Bombyx mori: one gene and its partners. The protein of the gene in region 3 interacts with the protein of the main gene of each other region in a pairwise test. Links are inferred from orthologs where the notes say so. Each region holds a gene or a part of one and is shown on either strand. Other genes may lie near its edges.

Evidence for each region.
Region 1: the proteins of TRAF3-interacting protein 1 (region 3) and FGFR1 oncogene partner 2 homolog interact in a two-hybrid assay, tested with the Homo sapiens proteins (2 studies listed by IntAct). The link is inferred for Bombyx mori from reciprocal best matches to the Homo sapiens genes TRAF3IP1 and FGFR1OP2.
Region 2: the proteins of TRAF3-interacting protein 1 (region 3) and structural maintenance of chromosomes protein 4 interact in a two-hybrid assay, tested with the Homo sapiens proteins (2 studies listed by BioGRID and IntAct). The link is inferred for Bombyx mori from reciprocal best matches to the Homo sapiens genes TRAF3IP1 and SMC4.
Region 4: the proteins of TRAF3-interacting protein 1 (region 3) and structural maintenance of chromosomes protein 2 interact in a two-hybrid assay, tested with the Homo sapiens proteins (2 studies listed by BioGRID and IntAct). The link is inferred for Bombyx mori from reciprocal best matches to the Homo sapiens genes TRAF3IP1 and SMC2.
Region 5: the proteins of TRAF3-interacting protein 1 (region 3) and spectrin beta chain interact in a two-hybrid assay, tested with the Homo sapiens proteins (2 studies listed by BioGRID and IntAct). The link is inferred for Bombyx mori from reciprocal best matches to the Homo sapiens genes TRAF3IP1 and SPTBN1.
Region 6: the proteins of TRAF3-interacting protein 1 (region 3) and intraflagellar transport protein 20 homolog interact in a two-hybrid assay, tested with the Homo sapiens proteins (2 studies listed by IntAct). The link is inferred for Bombyx mori from reciprocal best matches to the Homo sapiens genes TRAF3IP1 and IFT20.
Region 7: the proteins of TRAF3-interacting protein 1 (region 3) and structural maintenance of chromosomes protein 3 interact in a two-hybrid assay, tested with the Homo sapiens proteins (2 studies listed by BioGRID and IntAct). The link is inferred for Bombyx mori from reciprocal best matches to the Homo sapiens genes TRAF3IP1 and SMC3.

Annotation. Positions count from the first base shown.
Region 1 is NC_085119.1:12,368,768-12,372,725, forward strand, and holds part of FGFR1 oncogene partner 2 homolog, read left to right. Parts: intron 1-560; coding exon 561-674; 3' UTR 675-3,958. UniProt on the Homo sapiens protein: May be involved in wound healing pathway.
Region 2 is NC_085134.1:4,032,994-4,037,034, forward strand, and holds part of structural maintenance of chromosomes protein 4, read left to right. Parts: intron 1-754; coding exon 755-872; intron 873-2,718; coding exon 2,719-2,902; intron 2,903-3,924; coding exon 3,925-4,041. UniProt on the Homo sapiens protein: Central component of the condensin complex, a complex required for conversion of interphase chromatin into mitotic-like condense chromosomes.
Region 3 is NC_085131.1:5,588,590-5,592,755, reverse strand, and holds the end of TRAF3-interacting protein 1, read left to right. Parts: coding exon 1-918; intron 919-994; coding exon 995-1,153; intron 1,154-1,432; coding exon 1,433-1,644; intron 1,645-3,179; coding exon 3,180-3,336; 3' UTR 3,337-3,369; downstream 3,370-4,166.
Region 4 is NC_085131.1:14,291,105-14,295,145, reverse strand, and holds part of structural maintenance of chromosomes protein 2, read left to right. Parts: intron 1-357; coding exon 358-468; intron 469-755; coding exon 756-877; intron 878-1,193; coding exon 1,194-1,350; intron 1,351-1,670; coding exon 1,671-1,862; intron 1,863-2,543; coding exon 2,544-2,679; intron 2,680-2,978; coding exon 2,979-3,154; intron 3,155-3,221; coding exon 3,222-3,405; intron 3,406-3,531; coding exon 3,532-3,605; intron 3,606-3,881; coding exon 3,882-4,028; intron 4,029-4,041. UniProt on the Homo sapiens protein: Central component of the condensin complex, a complex required for conversion of interphase chromatin into mitotic-like condense chromosomes.
Region 5 is NC_085124.1:11,160,113-11,164,798, reverse strand, and holds the start of spectrin beta chain, read left to right. Parts: upstream 1-1,671; 5' UTR 1,672-2,031; intron 2,032-4,686. UniProt on the Homo sapiens protein: Fodrin, which seems to be involved in secretion, interacts with calmodulin in a calcium-dependent manner and is thus candidate for the calcium-dependent movement of the cytoskeleton at the membrane.
Region 6 is NC_085116.1:6,783,231-6,787,746, forward strand, and holds intraflagellar transport protein 20 homolog, read right to left. Parts: upstream 2,900-4,516; 5' UTR 2,802-2,899; exon of another isoform or gene 2,598-2,801; 5' UTR 2,596-2,597; coding exon 2,472-2,595; intron 2,242-2,471; coding exon 2,087-2,241; intron 769-2,086; coding exon 652-768; 3' UTR 613-651; downstream 1-612. UniProt on the Homo sapiens protein: Part of intraflagellar transport (IFT) particles involved in ciliary process assembly. May play a role in the trafficking of ciliary membrane proteins from the Golgi complex to the cilium.
Region 7 is NC_085129.1:4,090,978-4,095,018, reverse strand, and holds part of structural maintenance of chromosomes protein 3, read left to right. Parts: intron 1-385; coding exon 386-549; intron 550-1,347; coding exon 1,348-1,555; intron 1,556-2,162; coding exon 2,163-2,339; intron 2,340-3,028; coding exon 3,029-3,165; intron 3,166-3,745; exon of another isoform or gene 3,746-4,041. UniProt on the Homo sapiens protein: Central component of cohesin, a complex required for chromosome cohesion during the cell cycle. The cohesin complex may form a large proteinaceous ring within which sister chromatids can be trapped.

The DNA of each region.
Region 1 (3,958 bases), on a different chromosome or scaffold from region 3:
TATAAGCAGCTATCGCTTCTATTTTCATGCAGATCCTGCCTATGTGCGGGACTGTCTGTAATACCTTTTATTTATTTGTTGTGTATTTCAGTGAACGAATCACAACCATAATGTGAAAACGGCCACCCACCGTCTATGCCTTAATTGTATGATAATTATGGAAAATACAATTTTTGGAGCTTTAATTTTTATTCCACAATATTATTCATTTGTTAATTATTTCATAAGAGAAATTGGTATCTGCCTGATGTATAGTTGCATTGCTTGGCACTGTTGTATGTAATTGTTTATTGAATCACCATATGAATGTATAAATATAAAAAAAAACTTTTCGTTTTGTTCTCAAAAAATTATTCAAATAATGCCTATTTTGCTTTGCAACAAGAAAATATTTTAGTAGAAACGTAGTTACATTATTATAAGTTATTACCTAACTAAATATAGTTATCTTCCATAAAAATTACACAATAGATATAGAGAAAAGAAACTTTACATTACTGTGAACTATTTCGCGACAGAGAAATACGTTTGTAAATTGGATATCATTTTCGCATTTACAGGGCCTGAGAGAAATGCTGGATCTATCTCGAAGGTACGGGTCTGATCGTGTGATGGCGCCTCCAATGGAGGACAAGGACGTTCAAACAGACGGCCCGCCGCTGACGGGAGCGTGACGCCCCGCGCTGCCGGCACACCGACCGACTGCTACCTCGCGCGCTCACAGGTAGATCCTGCAAAATACTCCTGTCTGCACATCTGAATGTTTTTACTCACAAATTTAGAAATGTCAAAAGTCAGCTCATCAGGCGATGATTTTCATTATCAATTAGTCGGGTTTCGTTTTTTTCAATAATTGAAAGATCACAAAATGATGCACACAAAATTCGGTATAAATAATTGCATATGTTTTGTAATAATATACATGTGTATTTAATGATTTCACACAAGGTATTAAGGTTTTATTAAATAAAGAAAAATCTTTTACTGCATGTAATGGTTTATTTAACAATGACATGATCTTATAACTTTATCAAGTAATAGTGTTTGGTATCAAATTTAAAATTTATTTTAATTGAATTTAAGACCTTATTAATAATTATTATAAAATATTATCTGAAGTTTTTTTTATTGCAAAGTATAAAAGTAGTAAAATCGTATTATGTTACTTATTTTAAATAAATAATGAATTAATCGTTTTGTACATTCACTCTTTGCATTCACAATTTAAAAGAAATGAATTGTTTAGGCGATATGCCAAACTTAAATGATACATAAATTGAGACACATAAGTGACTTCTCTAAACATAGATCAATTGTTGCCTGATTACACTAAAATATGTTTCCTTGGTTTTAATTGTAATAAATAGTCTACCCTTAAACTGTATTCTTTGTTGGCTATCCTATTGAAAGGGGTGCATATAAGTTTAAAACGTATTTCACTGTCAGCCAAATCTATAAATTATCATGAAGTTTGTGGTATTTGGCATAAGTTACATGTGGGTTAGTCGTCCTGTTTGTGCTGGTCAAAACTGTTTAAACCATTAGCACTACATACACAAAATGCGCCTGCAATGACGATGTAGCGAAACTTGGTGGTTCCAATATTGTTTTCCGGACAATAAAGCTGTACTTTAAATTATGTGTAAGATATCTCAGAACTGTAAAGGGGTCCTTTGCCTAATGCACATGTGTTTGTAATTCATTTGTGCTGACAGAGAGCTTTAAGCAAAAAACAGTGACCGTTCCAGTATACAAATTTATACCTATTGTTACTCACAAGTTTTGGATCCTAGGTCTATTGACATGGTTTACCTTTCCGCTTGATAAAAAAATGTGACAAGAATACAGTGATACAACATACCTTTCAATGTAATGATTATTTGATTTTTCCTTTATTTGAAGTTTCGGTGTCAATAATTTGTAATGTTCTAAAAAATGTAGGAATAATCGTTTTACTTTCTCATTTAAATTAGAGTTGATGGTTGTAGACGTGATAGTAAATTGTAACGTGTTCAAGTCTCATCTCGTAGATGTAACTTCTTAAATAATATAGTCTCTTTCACAGCTACTGTGATCTTCAAAAAGTTTTTAAATGGTCCATATTCTCAGCGAATTGACCATTTAAACAGTAGAGCATTTAACACTGATAACCTTTAAGTAGTGTTACAACTATTATTTACTTAAGTATCTGAAATAGAACTACATAATATTGTTTTTCTTTATCTGACTTTATCTGATTTACAAATCAAAGATTAAAGATTACAAAGATCTACAAATTATTCTATATTTGAGGTAGATTATCTATTTTGTATGTTTGTCACACCTCGTCAATGTGAGACCGATTTGGATTCATATTATTAAGTTAAATTATTTTAATTGTCGAGTATATGAATATTATTAAGATAATGGACTTTTGTTAATTTGAAAATAAAATTGTACGCTTACACATACAGTTTCGTAAATTTTTAATTCAAGATTTTAATACTCGTTACTGTATACCTTCTGGTGTTGCTTTGTAAATTTATAGTGTTGTACCCTATTTAGAATGATCTTAGATTATTCGAATTTCACTTATTATGTATTAGTAAACACGATAAACGGACATTATGATTTACTATTCGATTGACACCTGCAAGCTAGTTATAATGATAGTAGACTATAATATTATACAGGGTGTAAGAGAAACGTTCCTGAGGCCAAATGGTATAATTCTTAAAATTCTTACTTTTGCTAAATAAAATGAGTTAATGAATATGAGCAAACTGATTCCAGGTTTGTAAGCCCTGAAAGAGCACTGTTCAGCATCAGTGCAGCTGTCTTGACAATCTTGACAGTAGTACAGACCCTTTATCTATAAGTGACATTTGGTGAATTTTGAAGTCGTCGTGGCCTAAAGGATAAGACGTCCGGTGCATTCGTATCTAGCGATGCACCGGTGTTCAAATCTCGCAGGCGGGTACCAATTTTTCTAATGAAATACGTACTTAACAAATGTTCACGATTGACTTCCACGGTGAAGGAATAACATCGTGTAATAAAAATCAAACCCGCAAAATTATAATTTGCGTAATTACTGGTGGTAGGACCTCTTGTGAGTCCGCACGGGTAGGTACCACCGCCCCTCCTGTTTCTGCCGTGAAGCAGTGATGCGTTTCGGTTTGAAGGGTGTGGGGCAGCCGTTGTAACTATACTGAGACCTTAGAACTTTTATCTTAAGGTGTGTGGCGCATTTACATTGTAGATGTCTATGGTCTCCAGTAACCACTTAACACCAGGTGGGCTGTGAGCTCGTCCACACACCTAAGCAATAAAAAATAAAAAAAAATTTAGGGCTTGTAGCATTTACGTCTGAACCTTTACGGCTTAGTTTTTTTGGGTGTATTGTTAGTAACCTCGAGGGGTTTTGCTAGTTTCACACGTGGGTTTAAAGCGTTAGCTGCAGTAATACGACTTTGGTTAGTTGAGCATTGTTGCGTGAAAAACCTCTGACAAGTTCTATGAGGCGAAGAGGGGATGTTTATTAAAAATACGTATTATACGTAATTCAGTATACCTATTTAGCATAGTTAGTCTCTATTTCGGGTCCAAGCAACAATACCAACATCGGCCTTCGATTATGCCACATAGACATACTGATTTTTCTGTGTTTACATTGTTCCCCAGGTCAGTTTCTGTTATTTTTTATTATCGCCGTTAGCTGTCATAGTGAAACTTTGCTTGGTCGTTAATATTTGTGACCTTGCTCGTTCACGAAGCCCGCTATAGAAAGCAGAGTATTAAATACACTTGACATTGGCGAAATCTAAAAGGAAACGCCATAAACCTAAGAGATAGATAGATAAGATTTTTCATTTGCTGTTGAATAAAAATTACTCCTTATAGGGATATACCTTATAGGTAATGGTATGCATTTACGCAGGTTTAATAGTTGTAATTATTGGTATTACATTACTGTAGG
Region 2 (4,041 bases), on a different chromosome or scaffold from region 3:
TAGGGATCCTTACTAAAACTCCAATAATGTATCCCAATAGGTAAAAAAAAGTGTGTGTGTCCGCTCCGACGCACGACTGGAGTTTACTGGATATAAAAAATTAAACGAAACAATACGAGAAATAGTTCTATATTACGACAACACGATACACTACAGATTATTAACAAATTAACGAGACACAAAACAAACGACTAACAAATATATGAAAATACAATAATGAGAGAAACGCGCGATCAGTACGAGGCTTTGTGGCGGACTGCCGGCGCAGCAGCCCGGCGTCACCTGCGATAACGCGGCCGCGCGTTGGCTCCTGATTGGCGCGCGCACGCATCACGCAATCAGGAGCCAATCAGGCGCATAACGCATTTCGTGTGACATGCTAGTACGATTTTGGTCCCCATAATTTTCATACCCCGGGCCTATATATGTAAATCGATTCTAAAGGAGTAAACTCCAAAAATTACCTAAAATAATCTTTACATCGCGTGCCTGCGAAAACTATTGATGGTATAATAAAATAATGTACTACTGCTTTGTAGAACACATTATTATTTACCAAAAGTGTCGGGACAGCATATGTCTAACTATTGTAGTTATGTCGCAATAAGTGTTCTTTTATTTAAAAAAATAAAACAACGTCAAATATCGTTGAAATTTTTGTTAAAGACCCGAGCGGAGCCGGAGCGGGCCGCTAGTTTAGTGTAAAGTTCGAAACTCCAATTCTGTACAATAAAAAATAAACTTTTCCTTCCAGGATTCAATACGATAACAATGAAACTGAAAGAGATGTACCAAATGATAACATTGGGAGGCGACGCTGAACTAGAACTTGTTGACTCGCTGGATCCATTCTCCGAAGGGATTATATTCAGGTATTTTGTTTTAAGGATCGTACTATACCCGATCCTGCGGACCGAATGGAAAGCAGTCGACGTCGCCCCAAACACGTCATTTTGGATCCTCCCGATCCACTAACGGTGCTTTTAGGTACCTCAAGCACCGGTCACCGTCCTCGTTGAACCCGTCGCTTGCAACGAAGGGCTCGATAAGTAAACTAACCCACAGACACGGTCTACTGAGTTTCTCGCCGGATCTTCTCAGTGGGTCGCGTTTCCGATCCGGTGGTAGATTCTGCGAAGCACGGCTCTTGCTAGGGTTCGTGTTAGCAACGTCCTCAGGTTTGAGCCCCGTGAGCTCACCTACAAGCTCGGCTAATCTAGAATAACCCCTAGAGGCTACTAGAATAGGAAGGAAAAAAATATATATATTCGTACTGGCCTATGATAATTTATGGAGTATTTTTATATAAAGCCTCTTATGTGTTTAGTAATAAAATTATAATTCCCTTGACTGGTCTTCATCTCGAAGTCTCAATTGCATATATTTTAATGTTTAATTCTTCGTAATGTAAGTTTATTTCTAAAGAGTATTAAGGCAATGGCGCCGATTCGATATATGCGATTAAAATGTCTGAAATGCAAAATTTCGACTAGTGGTAGGTAGCATGTGCTGTGAGTCCGCGCGGGTAGGTACCACCGCCCTGCCTATTCTGCTGTGAAGCAGTAATGCGTTTCGGTTTGAAGGGCGGGGCAGCCGTTGTAACTATACTTGAGACCTTAGTACTCATATCATATATAAGGTAGGTGGCGGAATTTACCGTCTAGTTTTTTTTTTTGCTCCGCTAACCACTTAACACCAGGTAGGCCGTGCGCTCGTCCACTCATCTAAACTATAAAAAGTAAATCTATACATAATGTGTAAAATAACTATATTTGGGCCTGTATTTATCAATGTTATGTAAGTAAATAAGCAGAAGAGTATAAAATGACAGACAAAAATAGCACATAAGATTTGCTTAAAATCAACTTTATTAAAATTAACAATTAATAAGTAGTTAGTTTTGATTAAAAACAATCTTTATATTCATAGGTATTTATTGTAAAATCACAATCAAATAACATTGAATTTAAAATTCTTCTGGGTTAACTAACATAATCTAATCTAAGTAATTAGTTAAAAGTTAAGTAATCAGTTCTTTTACACACATTACGGGCAGCGCATTCGGTTTTGTATAGAATGCCTAGGCAAAGTATAAAATGAAAAATATTACATACTTTACCTTAACGTTTTAGGTATTCTATACATTGCCTAAGTATTGTATAGAATACTGTATTATACAGATTGTCGGTAACACATACAATTTTTCACAATTTTTCCCCGGTCACCGTCCTCGTCGAACCCGTCGCTTGCGACGAAGGGCTCGACGAGCGAACTAGCCCATAGGCACAGCCCACTGAGTTTCTCGCCGGATCTTCTCAGTGGGTCGCGTTTCCGATCCGGTGGTAGATTCTGCGAAGCTCTGCTCTTGCTAGGGGCAGTGTTAGCAACACTCCGGTTTGAGCCCCGTGAGCTCACCTACAAACGTTAGGGTGAAGCTGAAATAGCCTCTCAAGGCTATCAGGATAGGTAGAAAAAAAAAAAAAAATTATTGTCTGTTTGTTCCGGTTAATCTCTGGAACGGCTGGACCAAATTTGACGAGACTTCCACTAATAGGTAGCTCATGATATAAGGAGTAACTTAGGCTACTTTTTCTAGACTTGCTTAGCCCCGCGGCGTCACTCGCGGTACGAAAATAACCGCAGATAACATCGCGGGACTCGGCCAGTAAAAAAAATAATAATCTCACGACACCTAAATAACTCTTGTTTTGTTTACAGCGTGCGTCCGCCGAACAAGTCCTGGAAGAACATATCGAATTTATCGGGCGGCGAGAAGACGTTATCCTCACTGGCCCTGGTTTTCGCTTTACATTACTACAAACCAACGCCTCTGTACGTCATGGACGAGATAGACGCGGCCTTGGACTTCAAAAACGTTTCGATCGTGGCAAACTATATTAAGGTCGGTGACCTTTACATATTAATATATTATAATAATATTACATATTATTAAATACGGGCATTGCTGACGTCCATGAGCGACGGTGACCACTTACCATCAGGTGGGCCGTATGCACGTCTGCCTACAAAAGAAAAAAAATATATATTTTTTTCTTTTGAGGGATTTTATGACCTGGTAACTAAGACATTTAAGTCATGTCTTATTTTAATTTAAATTATTATTTTTTATGAAAAATGATAAATATGGAGTGAAATGAAATGAGATGATATGGGATGAAATATAATCTCAGTAAAATAGTGGTCATCTACTAAGATATTTTCAGTGGACTTTTTAGAAGTTACGTCTAGCGGCTTTGTTTCATTTTCCCACATTTGTGCACTTTCACAGATATTAAACAGTTAATAAACCACCGTTACTACACATTTAATCCTAAAGAAACATTACAATAGACAAAATAAAACAAATCACACAACTTCACTCCTCGCAGATATAGTACAGATACAGTAAGAGCTCTTTATCCACGAGATATGTGTTCCGTAAATATGCCGTGAATATCAAATGGCTATTTAGGTTTTTTTTTTATTATGATCCGATAGACACTGGCGGGTAGCCATCATACAACGCAAGATATTTGACAGATGCCTGAATCTCACTTACGATATTTTCAAGATAAGCTTGCATATATACAAGTTCCGAACAACAATATTCGGACCGTCGGTCTACCGAGCAAATATCACCCGCTCGGTGGAAGATCTTCCCTTTCGTCGTTTAAGCCTCCCAAAACACCTACAATGCAAATGCGCCCCCCACCTTGAGATATAAGTTCTAAGGTCTCAAGTATAGTTACAACGACTGCCCCACCCTTTAAACCGAAACGCATTACTGCTTCAAGGCAGAAACAGGCAGGGCGGTGATTATCTACCCGCGCGGACTCACAAGAGGTCCTACCACCAGTAAATCATCAGTATTAATACTAGCCGCTCTTTGCTAGTGTCGTCTATAACTCTATTCGATTGTTTCAGGAAAGAACGAAGAACGCTCAATTCATAATCATATCGCTTCGATACAACATGTTTGAGGTGTCGAATCGTTTGGTCGGTATATACAAAACTGAAGACTGCACAAAGTCTATAACGATT
Region 3 (4,166 bases):
AATGCATCACAAAATACTGTGCTTATAAAAGAAACGAGATCTAAAGAATCGATTCCTAAGAAAAACAGTACAAAAAACTTAATTTCTAAGAGCAGCGATAATTTATCGAACCTAAAAAACGAAGCAAAAGAAAAATCTTCATCTAAAAAAGAAAAAGTTGAGAACCAACCCAAGCATGAAAATATTGCTAAGAATGAGCCGCAAAACAAAACGAAACAAGCAAAAGGGAATCCAAAAAAAATTGTACCGCAAGGTAAAAAAAAATCTACGGAATCACATGTACAAATAACGGAAAAAGTTAAGACACAAAGAGCTTTACCCGACCCTCAAGAAATTAAAACCCAAGAAAAAATTGAACTCAATGAAGAAACTCAGTGGAAAATAGACAACAAAACTGATAATTCGGATTCAAACACAAACGATGATTTAAATCAAAGCAGTAATATTGAGACACCAGGAGCACAAGACCAATTGAGCACTTCTTACGCTATAAATGAGCAAGATCTGAATTCATCATCATCCTCACAAAATTTAATGGGCGAAAATGTTAATGAAATCAGCATAGATACAAACTCAAAAAAATTACATACAAACGAACATCTATCGTATCCAGATACACCAACTACAGATAATATTATTAAGGATTTAAATGTAAATAAAGTTTCACAAGAGCCTTTGCTTATTAACACAAAATTAAAAATCGAAAACGATCAATCAGAAACAGGAAATAATTTCGCTGTAAAGCCAGCTGAATATTCTACACCCTCCGTGGTTCAGAGACCAGCTAGTGTAAGACCATCTTCTTCGAGGCCTGGAGCACCACGACCAAGAGAAAAATTAGAAACCATAATTTCTGAAAACGAGAATCTAATTTTAGGGAAAGTTAATATTATTGCAGAACACGTGCAAAACGACGAGGTCAGGCTAATTCCTGTTTATCCTTTTTTTAGACTCGCAAATTTTATGAAAACTAACTTTCTAATTCAAATTATAGGAGGAAGACAACTCTATCATAATCGCGGAGCAACACAATAGTTCAATGACCCAAGATATATCCGGAGACTTACAATCGCTGAATGACCACGGTCATTTAGTGCAACAAATAATCGATGCGCAGAGAGAACTAAGCAAGATTTCGGGAAAAACTGAAATTGTTAGTGCCATTTAGATTTTGATGAATTTGAAATTTTGCAGATGCATCAAGGATCGGTGGCAATGTATTAATTTTATTACGTTGGCCTTATTTCCTAAGTCGTGTGAATTCAGCTTATTATTTGTGTATATTATGTAAAATTTTAAATTAGAAGTTTATTTTAAATCAATTCGTTTATTTAAATAACATTTATGTTCTTGCCTTCACCTCACAAAATCACGTCCCTGCTATTTAAATCTAAACTATTAAACAAATCTTTACAATCATCAATTTTGTCAGGAATGGGAGTCTGGAATCCAAAAAGCCAGAGAAACACAACATCAAGAAATTGAACAACTAAAATTCAATATTCAGGCTTTATCGCGTGTGGCCAATCCTTTGGGAAAAGTACTCGATCATTTACAGGAAGACGTGGAAGTGATGCGACAAGAACTAAACCAATGGACAAACATGTACGAAGAAATCACTAAAGAGACGCACAAGCAAAAATTGTGAGATATTTAGTTAAATGTTTTTCACTTACTGCATTAATAGAGCGGAGTCGTAACGGCATTATCACTTAAATCGTTCGGCACCTTCAACTCTACTCAACTCTGTAAAAAGGCTGTATACGTAAAAAAAACAGAAAAAAATTTCGTTGGTAATTAATGTGAATCATTTAAAGTACCTACGTGTCCTTTCCAAAATTTTATTAGATTTTATTACAAATAATATTTACTATTACGGATTATATAGGTTAATGTAGGTTGTTAAATTGTTTTTTTGTTTGTAGAAATTGCCCTTAATAGGTAGAATGAGCTCATTGTCCACGTGGTGTTATGTTATTACAGTACCGCGACATGATAACATGTTGCTGCTACTCCTCTTTTTAAGGCATGAGGTCGAAGTCTCCATTGTTTTAATATGTAACGGCATGGGACAATTATTACGCCGTGCAATAAATCGCACGACCAGTAAAGTTATTTGTATTCGTTAGTGCTTAAGTTTTTTTTTTCTAATTTCTTGGTAGTAGCTAACTGCCGGATTGTGATTATTTTTGGAGATTCGATTTACCCATGGCATTTGATTTCGAGTTCGAGAATTTGTAAACTACAATTTATCAAAGTTGCTGAGACCGAAAAGTTTCTACTTATTAATAAAACTAGATTAAGTGACATAGGTTGATACCAGGTAGATCTCTAATTTAATAAATTACGTTTTATTTAATTACTTTTTATTACCACATGTACTTACTCGAATGAAATAGCGAGTCTCTCCTAAATTTAACCAAAAGCCAGCTAATAGTTTTAATCATTGAAGCGTCTTATGCCTAATGAGTATAACGCCCCTTGTATACCTATCGAGTGATGTGGGGCTCTTTTTTCCTAACTAATTTGTGTTTACCTGTATACGATAAATAATTATAAAACGGGACGTGTTTAGCGAACGATTACACAGTTAAGGAATAACATTGTGAAGTTCAAGTCGAGCCCGATATTTATTGCAGGACAGATTGTAAGTCCACACGGGTACATTCTAGTATCCTTCCTGTTTCTGTTATGAAGCGATAACACGTTCCGCTTTGAAGAGTAGGATAGTCGGTAGTCCAACTTTAAAAAGGAATTACTAGTGGTAGGACGTCTTGTGAGTCCGCACTGGTAGGTACCACCACCCTGCCTATTGCTAAAGCAGTAATGCGTTTCAGTTTGAAGGGCGGAGCAGACTTTGTACGGTTAAAAGTGAGACCTTACAACTCATGTCTCAAGATCGTTGGCGGCATATACGTTGTAGATGTCTATGGGCTCCGGTAACCACTTAACATCAGGTGGGCCGTGAGCTAGTCCACCAATCTAAGCATTAAAAAAAGGAAGTATACCATCCATAGAACATTATTATTACATGTATTATCATTTAGTATAATCAAACTCATAAATGAATAGTTTTTTGTTTGCGTAGCGTAAAAATAGGCCCTAAATCCAGGCTTAATATTAATTCCCTTTCATTTCTTAATTAATTTTCAATGTCTAATGCTTTGTTTTTTATTCAGGTGTAATGAAGAGTCTCTTATACCTCTGCGTACAAAATTGAAGCAATTGGACTTAGAAATCCAAGAAAAACAAGATAAAGTAAACGACCTCAAAGTGATAATACACAAAAACTCGTCGAGAATTGAAAAATTGCTTGCTACCGGGAACGTGCAATAATTTATGTAAATTAATATAAAAAACAAGAATGTTTTTTCTTACATTTCTTTAACCCTTTTAATGTTGAGCTTATTTTCACATATTTTGCAGAAATTGCGAAAGGATTTTTGAAAAAAATACCTTAATGATTAAGTGTGCACAGAATCTTAATTATTTTCCTCAAATATAGATAGATTTTCGTAATTATTTCGTGTACGGGACATATCAAATTACTCAAATGAAATATATTTTTTACTATACAGTATTAATAAAAAAAATATCCAATAGGCTTTTTAATATCGGCGTGTAAATGTTTTGGTCCGGGAATTTCGAAAAAAAAGTATTATTTGTTTCGTTGGACAAAAGTACCTATATTACAAGGAAGTTGCACAAACGTATCGGAATCAAAGCCGTCCAAAACATTAAACTCATCTTTGGAAGATTCACCACTTTCGCTACAAATACGCATTCTTCATTCGTTCTTCATTTGTAAACATTCTAATTTCATCATCACTGTCACTATTTTCATGAAAAGAAAGAAACATTTTCCCTCAAAGCTTCACAAGTGTTTTCTTCATCACTATTTGACGAATTTGACATTTTGTAAGTAGATTAAAAAAACTTTAATTAAAAAAATACAAAAATCAAATTCACAGCAATTTTTTTTTTTTCAAATGTTATTCATGCGCGCTCTAAAACACGTACGCATCGATACCTATAATATAATTATAGATAATACCTTCGATCAACAATAGTAACTAGATTTCGGGTCGGTGCATAAAATCCGTCTCGTCAAATAACAGCGCACTTGAAATGTGAGCTCTTATTTTGTTTAGTTCACTTCAAACACA
Region 4 (4,041 bases), about 8.7 Mb from region 3:
TTGCACACTGAGGCTTGGATGCCTTTTCCCACGGTGGGTGGCGGGGCTCCCGTATCCACTTAAAGTCAGATGGGCTGTGAGCTCAATGACCTATCTAAGTAATAAAAAAAGGCAAAAAACCTGTGCTGTAATTGTGTTTGACATCCTTGTGAATAAATGAAATGTAACTAATTTAGCTGATCTAATGATTACAAATTTCTTCTAATAATTATAAAATACAATAAACAATAAAAAGGCCATAAGAACATGAACATGGTAAATTGGCACTAGAGACATTCATGTTTAGCATTGGCATCCAATAACCACATTGCACTGAAGGCTAAAATATATACAGCTACAATACCACTTTTTTGTTAGATATTATCAATGGTAGAGGAAGCGGCAGGTACAAGAATGTATGAAGCTAAAAAACAAGCAGCACAGAAAACTATTGAGAAGAAAGATGCAAAGCTCCGGGAACTTAATGATGTAAGTCAATTGTACAATTTTACTGTCACTGCACACTGTACAAATGTCGATTCGTTTTAAAGCATAATATGACACAAATAAAACTATTTTATCACTTCATCAAATTAGTAGATTTCTAGGACTACTTAGGTGGACTTTCAGAACTGCCAATACTTTTTTGAATAAAATAATGATTTTGTAGAAGGGATCACAATTAATCAGATGTAAATTTTTTTGAACTGAACTAAAACTTCTCAGAAAATACATTAAAAGAACTGTTGTGGCAAAATTGTTTCTGTTCAAAATAGATAATAAGAGAAGACATAGCACCTAAACTTCAGAAGCTGCAAGATGAAAGATCTCAGTTCCAAGAATATCAGAAGGTTGTCAGAGAATTGGAGAATATCACCAGGCTGTGTGTCGCTTGGAAGTGAGTATGGTCATTGCCTAAGTTCCTAGTCGCCACAGGACTGCGCGGCCGCCCGTGTGCCTCCCTGTTCAGTGTAACACAAAAATGTCAGTATGTTGAGTACTTCTTAGTATGTTGAGTACTTCTTTCTTTCTGTTTTAAATACATTAAGAAAAGAAAACAATTTTATTGAACATCTCTCTCTACAGTATACATGCACAAGTGTCCATAGTATGTTTATTACCTTCCCCTTCTAAACCACTTATTTACATGATAGAACAAGGCAATATTTTAGCACATCATAGTCACGAAAGTTAAAACGATATCTCCGTTACAGGTATGTTTCTGCTGAAGAGCAAACCAAAGCAGCAGAGGGAAAAGTCACGCAAGTGCAGGACGACATTAAATTGAAAAAAGAGACTATTAAAAACAATGAGAAAGAAATGAAAGAGCTGGATAAGCAAGTTGTTGACTTAAACAAAAAACTGGATGAGGTAAGAGACAGCAGTAAGTCGTCGCTTTTCGTCCGTGAGTCCAGCCCCAGAGCGGGGCTCTTGTCGCATTCTATGCGGTCCGGTGTGAAGGGATACACTTGAGACTTGCACTTTATGTCTGGATCTGGAGCAGAATTCACATAGTAATGGTTATTGGAACTGATATCCATTGTGCATTAGGCAACCATGAGTGCGTTTAATCCATAATTTAAGGAATCTGCTATCAATTCGTGTCGTTATTATTCATCGGATGATGTAGTTAGCTGATAAAGTTTAGACTTTTTATATGTAAACCACTAATCATTTAATTATTGTATCAGGAGAGTGGGAATGTCCTCAAAGATTTGGAAGTAGAACTTCAAAACTTGGAGAAGGTTGAAGCAGCAGCAAGTTCACAATATAAAGGCAGCAAAGAAGCCCTGAGCGGACACGAGAAGAGAGTCAAACTACTCGAAAAGGCACTGGCTGAGGACGAGCAGGCTCTCACATCAAAGCAACAGATTCTTAATGAGGTGCGGTCCCAGCAGGATACACTTGACACTTCTTGAAAGTAAACTGTCTTTGGATGGAAACATTCGAATTACAAAGATAAATTAGAGTGAATCGTTTTAGTCAAATGGTTGGTTAATTGTTTCCGGTGACTCTTTCTTTTATTAATTTATTCATGCATGTGGTTGTGGAAACAATATTTGTGATGCTCAAGCTCAACACACCTCAATGCACTCAAAGAAAACATTTATTTTACCTGCTCTCCATAATATGTACTTGTTTTATATGTGAACTAAATTATGTCCTAAAGACACTCCTTATAATGGCACGGACCTGTACATGCGTGAAGAACTACAATACATCTGTTTAATAACCAATGAATGACCGATATTGTAAGTGTAGCACAGCATTACGAAGAAAACATGGCCTCTGCACTGAACTCTTCAGGTTCGCAGTACTAGCTCACACCCGGTATGCACTGGCTGTCTTTTCTTGGTCTTATGTGGACTCACAAAATATAATCTTGATAAATCTTGACAAAAAGTATTTATGCTTTGTTTACGTTACTCTTGACTTAGTAATTTATTGCTGTATCGGAATCGGATATGGCTTGATACATCCGGTATGTAGGATCCTTGCCTCGATAGACATAAGTATTCAAGAAACTGAAAATGTTTTATTTAACTATTACTATTTTACGAAAGGTCTCGTCAACATTCGAGAACCTTCGCACATCTAGTGAGACCAGTGAGAAAGCTTTAGCGGAAGCACAACAGAAGTTCTTGGCCGTGAGCACCGGGAAGGAAGATGCTTCTGAATCGCTGCAGGACCAGCTAATGGGTGCGTCTTGACGTTATGACAGACTAGTAGAAATTTATCTCACCTCACTTGTCGTAAGTTGATAGTGGCTACAGGTGTCACAGATAAAAGACTAATATCGTATATATCATCAACAAACAAGTCAAAAATTTTCGTTCCTTAATATCAGATAGTGCACTGTTGATCGTGTCTCCCCAATACTCCATTATTGACCCAATATTCCACTACGGATACACAGAGAGTACAGTGCACATGTCACACCACTAACCACTAACAATAACACTGACTATTTTCATGCTTATTGTGGTTGCTCTTTGTAGCTGCCAAACAACAGGCGTCGGAGGCGTCCACTCGCATCACCTCGGCCATGATGGACAAGAAGCACGCCGAGGAGAGATTGAAAACTTTGGAGAAGGAGTTCACTACCAGCAGCAAACAGTACGACGCGGATCAGGAGAGCATCCGGCGGCAGCAGGCGCAGGTCGAGCAGCTGGAGGTGGGTGGGTGGGGCCGCCGGGGTTCGTGTCGCGGTTACAGCCGTCTGTAGCGTGGGTCGGTTGCAGCGCGAGCTGGCGGGGCTGGCGCACGACGAGTCCCGCGTGACGTCACTGGGGGCGGCGGTGCGGGGCGCGCAGGGGGCGGCGCGGGGGGCGCGGGACCGGCGGGACGCGCTGGCGGCGGCGCTGCAGCGGTGCCACTTCCGGTACTCCCCCCCCGACCCGCACTTCGACCGCGCCAGGGTCGCAGGTTCGACTACATGTCTAGCTCACATTTCTACTTTATGTTAATTGTTTAATATGATCTTTATATTTTTGATGATTCAAAATCTACAGGGTGACCGCAATGGCGATTAAAATGTTGCAATGATTGCAGGTACCGTCTGCAAGCTGATCGACGTGTGTGATCCGGTGTACTGCACCGCCCTGGAGACGGCGGCCGGAGGACGGGTGAGCCCGCCTTATACCGCTCGCGCTGGGTCTCAAGTGTCCCTGTCCTCTTAATGAGAAATGACGTATTCCAGTTTCTATTAAACGCTAATAAACACCATCAGAGACAATCAGTGTGCTGTTATATGTTAAAACAAATAAACAACAAATATCTATCAGTTAATAGAAACTGAAAAAAATTGTTTCGATGTTGTAAAATACAGTGAAAGTAAACTACCTCTCTGACTGTTAAACATTCGATATTTGTATTAAATAGTGCTGATGTGATTGTTTCAGTTATACAATGTAGTGGTGGACACCGAGGTCACGAGCAAGCTGCTGCTACAGCGGGGCAACCTGCAGACCAGAACTACCATCATACCGCTCAACAAGATCTCCGGACAGGTCATCGACAAGAGAATTGTGCAGATAGCTCAGGAGATTGTACGTAGGCCTT
Region 5 (4,686 bases), on a different chromosome or scaffold from region 3:
TAGCAAGAGCAGTGCTTCGCAGAATCTACCACCGGATCGGAAACGCGACCCACTGAGAAGATCCGGCGAGAAACTCAGTGGGCTGTGTCTATGGGTTAGTTCGCTCGTCGAGCCCTTCGTCGCAAGCGACGGGTTCGACGAGGACGGTGACCGGTGCTTGTGGTGCCTAAGAGCACCGTTAATGGATCAGGAGGATCCGTAATGACGTGCTTTGGGCGACGTCGACGGTTTACCATTCGGTCTACTGGGTCGGGTATGTAATTTCCAGCGGCTACGATGAGAGGGTTCTCATGTCGTGCCGCCTTCTCAAAATGGCGCAGCGATGCCGACTGTAGATACTTACTGACAGAGTCAAGCTCCAGGTCATCGTGGAGATCCACGTTCCTCAGGAACCATGGTGCTCCGACGGCTATCCTGCAGAATCGGGATTGAATAACCTGAAGGGGCTTCAAGTTGGTGCGGGTTAGTTCCATACTTAGAATGGAGAAGCACGAGGAAGATAGCAATCTTCTTTCCACGTACCTACTAATTTAAGGGCCACACGGGCCATTTACTATCCACAAACTACTGCCACTGCCATCTATCGAATTGAAAGGAAAATTTTCAAACTAGTCCATGCTCATCTTTTATAGTCTGTGATAATGTATTGATCTGTGGTCTTTGATGACTGCATAGCAAAGAAAATTAGCGAACATCAATTTATTTGTTTCAAATATGTAAATAAAATTGAAGTTTCTCTAAAGGTTTAGAAAATTTAAAAGCTTTTTTTAACATTTCATTTTATTCAAATCGGTTAACTTTTTAAGTCATAAATTCGTTTTTTTTTCTTTTGCCCCTCACTAAGATATAAGAATGTTGCGATGACATCACTTTCTCAAAGAGTGATTAGAAGAGATTGGATAAAAGATATTTCAGTTAATGCTATTTACAATGTCGTTTAATGGATCAAATAAGTTTATTATTGAAATAATCTAGTTAATTAAATTAAACTATTATAATTAAATTATAATAATTAAATTAAACTAGATTAATTAATATTTAAAAAAAACATCAGATAATGTTTGAAACATTGTTTCTACGGCCCAATATTTTTTTACCAAATAGAAACTCTAAACTGTTGAATTAACGTGTCCCAAAATTTAGATTGAAACAATGGTTATTTTTTAAGACTTCAGTAGACTTTTTGGAAGAACCAAGAAGCCACGTCCAGCGGATTTAATTCATTGTCCCATACTTATGTACTACAACAGATGCTAAACGGTTAATAAGCTAAAAATGTTATACGTTGAAACTTTATGAAACGCTAAATAAATAAACGAAAACAATTTATACAACTTCGTCCTTCGCGTTCCTACTAAAAGTCCTTAGGTCCTGCTTAACTGATAGAGTATGTTTGTGGGGACATAAAATAGGTTTAAGGGACAGAGTTAAGGAGAAGATAAGCCCAGAATATAAAGTACTGCTAAAAATGGAAGATGTTGACTTAATAACTAATCAATAGCTAGAGAATCGGAGACATTCTAGCTAGTAACCGAACAAATTGTTCTTGCGTAAACTCTTTCCCTGACTTCTATAGTCAAAATTTAGTAAATTTACTACCTATGTAACGAACTAAATATACTATTGCTGCTAATATGATAAAATTAATAAATGCACTTCTCGAGCTATTTACTCTGTGATATGGGCGGACCGAAGTTGGTTGGCTTTTGGTTTTCGCCGAATATATTAAGTGTATAATCTATGGTTTTCGCGGTCGGTCTTTCGCTTCGCTCGATGCCGTGTTCGTACTCGTATTCACGGATGATAGTACAAGTCGTTTTTACATGATTAACGGCTACATAAAAGTTTCAGACAAAAAGTGAACTGTGTTATGTCAAAAAACTGTTTTCATAGTGTAAGTGGCGTGGAATCCTATTTATTAGTTCTCAGACGGCTGACCGCCAACTCGCGTATTCTAGTGTATTTAGTGTGCTGACGAATTTTATGTGCTTGACTGTGCTGTAATAGCATACCTTGGACTCGCAGGAGAACGTAAGTTCTAAAACAATTTATATGTAATATCATGTTTTATTCGTAAAACGTTTATTGTCAACGAAATATTATTGAGAATCATTCGAAACAGTTATTTAGGCCAACTCTATTTAAGCCCATTTCTTTTATTTTAATGAAAAATATTCATCTGTAATTTGTACCCAGTACTGTTACTAATTTATTATAATGTTTCATAAACTTCTTAATAGTCAGATGCAATTGAGCTATTTGATAAAGACGCTTCCTTAAATGCCGTTAGTGAAAGCTAGTTATGGAATGTCTGAAGTTGTGTATAATTGGTTAAATTAAAAAAACAAATAATCGAAAAAACTAAATACGCCAATAGCTACCTATCGGTTGTACATTTGAAATTTTTCTAGGTCAAGAGATTAAAATCATATTTACCATCATAAACAAGACATTGGTCATAAACATAGTAATGAAAAATCGGATGGTTCATTACCATTAGTCCACTCTTATAGACATCTGGGTGGATCTCCGTTTACAGAACAAGATAAGAAATCAAAGTGGAACTGTTCCAAACATTCATGCTAGAAAAGTTCAAAATTCAAATATGGAAATAAATCTTCATGAGTAATTAAACAAAAATCAAGTAATTAATTAATAACTACCATTATCATAATTGAATGCATTAAAAATGATTCTAAAATTTGACCTTAATTGTCACCAAAAAGTTTTCCTTAACTAAAATTTAACAGTTTGATTTTCAAGTCGGTTGTTGATTATGTAGGACATCGTTTAATAAATATTGCATCATAACTGCAGTGCACTTAGTGCAGACTAACTGTGAGCAACAATGTGAGAGTGTTGATAAAATTACACTCTTAAGGATAATTTTAAAAATTTATTAAGAAATGTAAAGACAACTATTTGTCACTTGAACTACCTGGGACCTCCCCCAAAGTTCACCACAATGCCGGGTTCAGTGTAGTCTGCATCTAGCAAATTGCCACATCCTTCAATAATCCATACAACCACACACTTTAGAACACACTTTTTGAACTTTTTGGCCCTAGATGCCATCTGTTCTAGAGCCAATGTACCTTCCCAATATGCCAATATAATGTCACTTCAACCTCGTAATAATTGGGCTATATTGGTTATCACAGCTATTCTAGCTATACCTTCATTCTCCATTTAATCTCTCACAGAAATTATCCATTTCAATAAAACAAAAGAGATAATATGAGATTTGTAAAACATCCAACTAATCTTCAGACTGATTAAAAATATTGCTTTGAATGTTGGATAACTTTATTGTGGTGAGCTTCTTTCTTTTGGATCTTTAAAACCACATGCTGTATATATTCAGCTACTAATTTAGGTTTTTTTACATGCCAAAATAGATTAAACCATTTTCTGTTAATGTTTTAAGCTCCTCGCACCAGAGAATGCTCTTTAATATTTGGTAAGTATCTTTTACTGGAGAAATGTTTAATTGAGCTGTCATAGTTGAGTATATACAAGGATTTTGTCCATAGCCTCTAGATCAGAATCAGCGTATATTATATTTAGACAGACATGGCATTATGGTATTATTAATCCTTTGATTGCCGTGTAGGTTGCCAATACCCTACGTGGTGCACTGAAGTTCTTATGTCAATTTCTGTTACTAAGACACTGAAATGTCTAGTAAACTCTGGACAACTATGAATCCGAAGATACTAAGAATGAATCTATTTCAAATAGCCTAAAAGACTAAAATATATATTAAAAACAAAAGTTGACAATCCAGGCACTTGATAACTGTTTCAGTGCTCCAGATAGAGCACCAGTGACTTACATGCCAGTCAAAGGGTTCAGGGATCCCATTTGTCTCTACCATTTCATTAAAATTTTAATAATAATTATGTAATTGAAAATATATAAATTTCAAAATAAAAAATGGTTCGGTCGCATTCAGTAAATTAAAAAATGTGTTCCCGTCCAAAATCGCTCAGTGCCTTAAGAAACAGGTGTAAACTAATGTGTTTTACTAGTGATGACTTACGGTTCCAAGATGTGGTGCTTCACAAGGGATATTTGTAGGAAGCTTAGGGTCGCGCAGCGAGCTATGAAGAGGGCTATGCTTGGTATTACTCTACGAGACTGAATCAGAAATGAGATCTGTAGAAAAGCCAAAGTTGCTGACATAGCCTCTAGGATTAGCAAGCTGAAGTGGCAGTGGGCAGGCCACATAGCGCGGAAATTGAACGGCCATTGGGGTGGAAAAATCCTCGAGTGGAGACCACATACTGGCAAATGCAGTGTGGGACGGCCACCTAACAGATGGATCGACGACTGGTGAGAATCGCTAGGTCACGTAGAATACAGGTGGCAATGAACCAGCCGCACTGGAGATTGGTTGGAGAGGCCTATGTTCAGCAGTGGACAGTGAACAGGCTGAGATGATGATGATGTCAATTTTACTTATGTAATGTTTCGATGGTTAATATTACCTGGCTAGACTATACCTAATAATATAATATAATTTTAAATGGGTATAAATTGTCCAGAAACACAAACTTTCTTATTTTTTAACTCATTTGGATGATACTTAATTGTAGTTAAATGCATAATTCAATATATAGTGTGTTGATAATATTACTCACAATTAAATTCACCCATAGTAGCCATAATGGCGCTGATAGAAGT
Region 6 (4,516 bases), on a different chromosome or scaffold from region 3:
CTACACAATTGAGATTTGAGACTAAACTAGGGGTGTTAAATAGAGTGATAATAAGTATGACGCAATTAACTTTTATTAAATTCTATTTTCTTTATTTTTCGTCATAGTCCCCTTTCAGGTTTATACACTTGGGATATCTATTTTTCTAAGCCTAAAACTTCCTTTTTAAAATATATTCTTCCTGATCCCACCAGATTGTTTACTTCAGTGATAGGATAATGGCGGCGCAGAGAGGCATGAACGCCACTTAATTTAATCATTAAGCGTTGCATTCCGTAACTTGTAAAATCACAATACTACGGATTTATTATTTAATGTGTGTTGATGAACAGGAAAATTAAAATGATTACAAACTATCGACTGAAGTCTGACTACATTTAACATATAAGCTAAGGGCTCGTAAACTTAAGCGGTGATTTAAAGATAACACATTACGTTATTTTCAAGCCCAATGATATTTTGTTAATGATGGTTTGAGAACGCGTTCTATAACTGAAAATCCATTGCTATAATACCTAACTAATGGTATCAATTCTAAACAAATAAGTAGAGGTAATAATATTATTAGAACTTAAACAACCGATTGAAAAGGATAATAATATATACTAAATATATTACTAAAAATCACTTTTATTTATTTATTTATTAAAATTAACGTAATTGTGTAAGATATTCAATTGTTTCCATCTGAGTTGCTTCAAGGATTTGAAGTGTATCGTATTCGCTGTCTATTTGTTCCAATAATGAAGTCTTGTCGTTAATTTCCGCCTGAAAGTGTTGTATTTCTTGTATTCATCAAACTTACGTACAATATTAAAGTTATCAATAAGAGCGATGATAAAAAAAAGCTACATCACAGTAACAGAAGAAATATTCTTTATTTAAATTAACCGGTCAACGGTCACAACTGTCAGTTTGTCATATGACTCGTCACTAGTGAATAAAATAATTACCTCTCATTATCTTTTTAACGACCCTAAGAAAAGAGTACGTAACATAAGTTTCAATATTTTTGATTCTAATTTCTGGATGAAATTAGTTGAAGAGTGACAATAAGCTCATAAAGGCAATGAGTTGCTTTCGATTTTTCTCAGCAGGTCGTGATTCCGATCCTATGTGATAAATACACTCGCAGAGCCGATCTCTATGACCTATTAAACGTCTTTTGGAGTTGTTCGAGGAGCTGTTATTAGATTCCATCCGTTCTGACAAAGCCCGTCCATCTTAGTGAAGCTGCGAAGACACCTAAGTCACAGCGCTCTATCGTGTATAAAAGCAATAAAATCACAAGTAGATTGACTAAATGCAGCGCTGAGATGCCTTTAATTAAATCAGTGAGCTATCTAGAACATTAAAAACATGAACCGAACGCATTCGCGGCTATTAAATGTAAATCATTCTGGCAAACGATATTAGAAAAACTTCACGCCATAGCCCTACTTAAAGGATTCGAGTTCCCGTGCGTGTCCCGGTTCAAGTGAAAACCCCCACGGGACACAACACGTAGAAAAGGGAAATGTACGGACTGGGCTCTGCTGCTAATCCCGCCCGCTGATATTATGAGATGAAGGGAGAAACGTCTGTACAGCATACTGTGTGACTACTGCAAAGCAGAAGATACACAGTTCTCGGAGAGCAAACTCTGCTATGTTGAAGTAATGGAAATATGTCCATGTATGTATGTTGATATGCAAAGAAAAAAAAGAACACAATGGGGTAGTCACAGTATATCCATGTTGCTCGCTGTGACGAATAGGCTTACTTGGAGTGGGGTGGTTTCTCTGCTCCTTGTGAGCAATAAGAAAAGGTTAAAAAACGGGTTTTTTAAGGATAGAAGATGGCTTCCAAAATTAAAGTAGTCTTATAATATACGGTAAAATGAACTAAAATGTAAGATCTTGAGTAAAAAAGTTTATAAAAAGTAAAGTGAGTAAAAGGTAAAGTTTGAGTGCCTGAGCACGAAATTAAATTATTGAAGACATTTTCCAACAAAATTATATAACATTTCATACCTAGTTATTAAATTTATATTTTCGTTTAATTAAATGGCTATCTATAAATTATGATAATAAAGAACCAATCTTACTTGCAATTTCAGCTGTTCGGATTCCTTATCTTTGGCTATTGATTTTAATAAGTTCATTGCTCCTATTGCAGCCATTTTCTTATTTTCAACATTGTCGCCGAGATCTTTAATTAGATCTAACAGCGAGCTTATAATTTTTTCAAAATTTTGCACCTCTGCAATGCCGAAAATGGCACAGTTATATTACTAATAACTAGTACATAAATATCACGAGATCGTAGGATTTTCGGTTATTAAATCCAACAATCCGAGTAATCGTACCAGCTCGTACGATCTTACAATAAACTGAAACATTAATTGATAACGACAACAATAACTAAGTTTAATAAAAACTTGTGTATACATAGAACGTATCCAATGTTTACAGTTGAACTCAGATACCTACTATTTTCGTACTCCTTACAGGTGTCCCTTAAATCTTCAGTATCTTTCAAAACATTCTCCTCAAGAACCTTTATTTTATTGATGTCATCGTAAAATAGGTGAACTTTTTGCAATTCTTCTGCCATAACTGAGTGAATCAATAAAATAATAATAATCAGTAACTAGACACTGTAGTAGTAATTTCACTATAGTTGTAGTAGTACATTAAATAAATTATTGTATTTGTATCCTTCTTTATGATTTGTAACTAAAATCTAAAAGAATACCAATAGCAAATCAATCTTCTAGTTGCTATTTTTTTTAAATGTAATGTAATTTTTATAATCTTTACTATTAATGTAGGTATTGTTTGTTTTAGTTGTACTGCTTTTGTTGTCTTAGCAACGTATCGACGTTGGTTAAAACAATATAATATGGAGTCGTTTTATCAAAACAGTTCTAGATTAATGAGTATTTTGTACGAAAAGGATTAGTCTTTTTATAGACAGGTATTGTAAAGAAAACAGTATTTTAAAAACGTATTTCACTTTGTGACAGATTTGAAATAATGATTGAATATGTTAAATTAATATATTAAGCGTTAAAGTATGAAATTGCCGATTTGTACTGAAGAATTTAAAAACCTTTTTTTTTTAATAATTATTTAATTAAAATATCTACCATTATTATGTATCTATACATTGCTACCATCTAATAGGAAGGTCATTTATGCTTTTGCTATAGAACCCTGGTGATCTAGATTCTACAAACTGAGTGAAAGCATTTTGTACTGCCTCCTGGGAAGAAAACTTTTTATCACGTAAAAAATTGTCCAAATCACGAAAAAGTTATGAGCGGTGCTCTTTTCAGCACCCGCTTTAGCAGAACCAATTTACTGCACTCACCTGCTCCTCGTCTAACTAACTTTTATAATAATCTAGTCAGTAAAGCTGAAAACCTTGACATATTTGGCGATTCCCTTCCAATATTCAGGAACAAAATTATAAAAAGTTGTTGTTGAACTGACCTCAGCCTTGGTCTGAATACTTGGGTATTGCTGTCCATGTTGTCTTTCTTTTGTTTTATTATTATTATTATTATTGTTAAATCTGTTCATGTAATGCATGCTGTGATTGCCTCTAATTAGAGTTGCAGCTATCAATTATTATTGCTCTATACATGTCAATGCTATTTTATGTCTTACTGTAAACCCTGTTGGTAATCCTTAAATAAATAAAATAGTTTACAATTTGCGTAATTTGTTCCTTTAAAGTTTATGATGATTTTTTGCCGGGAACGCGAGGAGTGAAGTTGTGTGATTTGTTTTATTTTGTCTATTTAGTGTTTCTTCAGGTTTAAATGTGTACTAATGGTGGCATATTAACTGTGTAATATCTGTGAAAGTGCACAAATGTGGGAAAATGAAACAAAGCCGCTCGGACGTAACTTCTCGGGATCCTCGAAAAAGGTCCACTGAAAAAATCTTAGTAAATGACCACCATTTTACTGAGATTATATTTCATCCCATATCATCTCATTTCATTTCATTTGATTTCATCCCAGTTGATTAATGTCTCAAATTAATCATTTTCATTTCATTTCACTCCATAATATCATTTTTCATAAAAATATGAATATAAATTAAAATAAGACATGACTTAAAAGTCTCAGTTACCAGATCATAAAATCCCCTAAAAAAAAGTTTATGATAACAAGAATAACAAGGCTTTGTTCATAAAATTGAAGTGAAGATTATGTGATTTAATTATATATAAATACTATTTAATGATTATTTAATGTACCTATATAAGCAGTTAGACAGATCTGTAGTGTTTGTTTAATTAAAAAAATAACAAGACTTTAATCGTTTCAATTAAATCCGAATTTATGATACCAAATACCCGCTTCATGTAATATAGTTCTATTGGAATTTAAGTATGTAAATGTTTTGATTTTGTGTTTTCTAATTTCATTATTGTTTTCGGCACTACCCATTGTATGTTAGTCCTTGTTAAACTATCAAAAATATTTATTTAGTTACAAGGTGTTTCATTTGTATGTGTAATA
Region 7 (4,041 bases), on a different chromosome or scaffold from region 3:
GATGGGGCAGCCGTTGTAATTATACTTGAGACCTTAGAACTTATATCTCAAGGTGGGTGGCGCATTTACGTCGTAGATGTCTATGGGCTCCAGTAACCACTTAACATCAGGTGGGCTGTGAGCTCGTCCATCCACCTTAGCAATAAAAAAAAAGTTTAGTGACAGTTATAGTTTATACAATTCGTTGTTGTTTGACATTGACAAAATAGTGATAAATGACGTCATTATTCATCAGTGCATTACCAATTGATCGCCATTAAATAAGCAATTAAGAGATTTTTTTTCTCAACCTCTAGGGGATAAATTTATATTTAAATTAGTTTAAGATACATATATTATTTTTCTGAGGTCAAATTGTATAATATTATTTGTACTATCGTTATAGGAGTTGATGGAGCAACTATCGACCGCGGACCAAGGTAAAGTGGACGAACTGAACGACGCGATTCGCCGCCTCACCCTCGAGAACAAGGAAGCGTTCAGCGCCAGAATGAATCTCGAAGCCACAAAGAACAAACTAGAGAATCTGCTGACCAACAATTTGATTCGGTTCGTTCATCGTTCGTTCGATAGTTTGTGTAAAGTTACCGAATTTAAACCTCTAAAAATAATATATTAGCTTGTAAATTGGACCCGCTACAGGATTTAATAAAGAGGTTTCAAGACATGACGTGTCGCACTGATTGTATAACCGTTCCGAATTTGTGACCAATGAGAATAAATCATTAGTTTCTGTGCGCAAAAAAAGCAAATTTTGTATAAAACTTAACGCTAGGCAGCGGCTTAAACCTGGTATTGCTGATGTCCGTGAGTGACGATAACCACCATGAGGCGGGCTGTACACTCTTTGCCTACAAGCACGATAAAAAAATATAATACTTTTTTTAGTATTATTATTTAATTTGGCAAAATCTATACAAATCAATAAAAGTAGAGTGTAAGTGTTTGTAATAATAAAATAACCACTTTTTAGTAAATGCGTAAAAACGTATACCACAGTGCATAGTAATATACCTACTTTTTTTTTTGTCTGTCTGTCTGTCTGTTTGTTCCGGTTAATCTCTGGAACGGCTGGGCCGATTTTGAGGAGACTTTCACTGATAGGTGGTAGCTAATGATATAAGAAGTAACTTAGGCTACTTTTTTATACTAGCTTCGCCCCGCGGTGACACCCGCGGTACGACAATAACCGCGGGTAACATAGCGGGACTCCGCTATCATGAATGATAAAATTTCATGTTTCCGAAGCGAAGCGAGGGCGGGTCGCTTGTCTAACATAAAATCAATGCAAATGCATGCTTACATATGCTATCAATGGTAATTGAACGAAATCATTTCCTTCGACAGACGTAAAGACGAATTAGTACAAGCTCTACAAGAGATCTCTGTTGAAGATCGGAAACGTCGTCTCGCTAACAGCAAAACCGATCTGTCCGCCACCGAGAAGCGCATCAAGCAGATCAACAAAGAACTAGAAGAGGTCGAGAGGAAAGTGCAAGCCGCCGTCAAAAACGAGAAGGCTCTCAAATTGGAGTTAGATAAATGGAGGAATAAAGTAAGCTTTGAATGAATGAATGAATGAATGAAGAATCTTTATTGCACAAAAATATTGTACAAAGGCGAACTTTTTATTTATTTATTTTTTATTGCTTAGATAGGCGGAGGAGCTCACAGCCCACCTGGTGTTAAGTGGTTACTGGAGCCCATAGACATCTACAACGTAAATGCGTCACCCACCTTGAGATATAAGTTCTAAGATCTCAAGTATAGTTACCCTTCAAACTGAAACGCATTACTGCTTCACGGCAGAAATAGGCAAAGTGGTGGTACCTACCCGCGCGGACTCACAAGAGGTCCTACAACCAATAATTAACCAATTAACGCCATGCAAGCATTCTCTTCCAGTTAACCCTCTTTGATGAAGTGAAAGATTCAAGAAGTGCGTAACTGTGTTAAAATTAATATATGGCGATAATTTAAAGAATTATAGTAGACATGAGTAAAATGAACGGAGCAATGAGCTATAATTATTTAATGAAGCTATAGTCATTTTTAATCGCGTTAACAATCAAACGAACCCTGAGTTAGTACACCCATTGGAACAACAATAAAATACATGAGTAACAATAATTTGTTGAACTCATTTTTCTCAAATTCACCAGGAAAAAGAAGCTCAAGATAAAATGGAGGAGGACGCTAAGGGTCTAGAAAAGATGGCTTCCAAAGAAGTGTTGCTACAGGACAAAATTCAAGAGTCGCTCGATAAAATAGCAGCCCTGGGCACACTGCCCAACGCACCCGAACTACACGCTAAGTACCAGAAAATGTCTCTGAAACAGGTTAGTTAACTATATTACTGAGAAAACAAGTTGACCACTGATTGCAGTAGGCACTTTGAAGGAGAAAAAAATAAAATAAAAAATGTAATGGTATAAAATGTATATATATAATGAGAGTTATGTGTTAGATTTTTTAAGTCACTAACATAGATATAAGTAATTACTACTAACAAAATGTTATGGTTTTAAAAAACAAAACTGAAATAAAGAATTAATAATAATAATAAAAGCTTAATACAAAAACAGCTTTTCAATGTAAGTAAAGTTCGGTTTAAATACATATATGATAAGAATAATAAAACTATCGAAAAGTAATTACGCTTCAAAAATGGTTCCACGTAAATAGCTACCGCGGAGGGCGGGGCTTAAAATAGCTATATAAAATAAAACAATTTTGGTCACATAATTAAGAAAAAATGTTAATTTGTTTCAATCACTATTCCACTATTTTCAGTATTTAACGTTTGTATATATAATAATGGGATTTAATGAATTCTTTTTAAATATGTCCATCAAGATTATGAGAACACATAGATGAGGGTGAAGATAAGATGAAGATAAGTAAAACTATCGCGCTTCACACATAGAGACCGAGTCAACTAAATTATATAAAAGTTGTAGTTGCATAGCAGTAGTGGTAGAAGAATAAAAATAATAGAATTAAATTATAATAAAAATTCTTCTCGTAGCTCTTCAAAGAGCTGGAGAAAGCCAATCAACATCTCAAGAAGTATAATCATGTCAACAAAAAGGCCTTGGACCAGTTCATTAGTTTCTCGGAGCAGAAGGAGAAACTGTATAAGAGGAAAGAAGAACTCGATGTTGGGTGAGTCACACTCTTGCTTCGATTTTCTTCATTGTTAAGCTATTGCATAGCTTTGAGCTTTGGCTTTGAGCGCGGTGACCGAATCAAGAAATTCCGTAACATAAATAAAACCTAACACCCCCACTCCGCTTACCTCGCGCTCAACACATTCACACGTTGCGCTTGTGTAGTGTTTGTGAATAAGCGCGCAGCGTGACGTTGCACTGCATGCGCATCATGAAAAATCTGCCCATCTCTCTCTCGCGCGGTCTTATTTATGAGTGTGAAGGGGACAGTTAATGTTTTGTTTTCGTTAATGTTTATAAATATAACGTGGTCTATTTTATTATTGTTTTAATATTAAATTATTATTGTCTAATTTCAATAATATGCAATTTCGAAAAGGGCATATGTCGCATATTTTTTCAAATACGTTTTTTCATATACATGTAGTTTTGAGGCTTACCTACACCCATTTTATAATAATTCCAGTAATTTTCAATTACTAATTAACACTAAAATATATATCAAAAGTTAATATTTTAAAATTTACACTGCTTTAGAAAATAATCATTTTTTTTCATTTCCTGAACATTTTACATTTTCAGAGATGTGCCCTTTTCGAAATTGCATATTTAATTATAATTGCATAAGTTGATAAAAAATCCTATGCAATAGCTTTACTGTGCCACTCCCCGAGTGCTACAGGTGTTTTTTTTTTTGTATTTTATTTGTTTGTTAAAATTAAAAAAATTTACATTTTGTGAGCCGTGACAGAACTTGATATAATCATGATTTTATTATACACCAATAAGCCGCTGACAGTTAACCATGTCAAATTAATTATATAGTATGTGTTTAAATAAAAGTACTTCAATATGTTCAATATATTACACT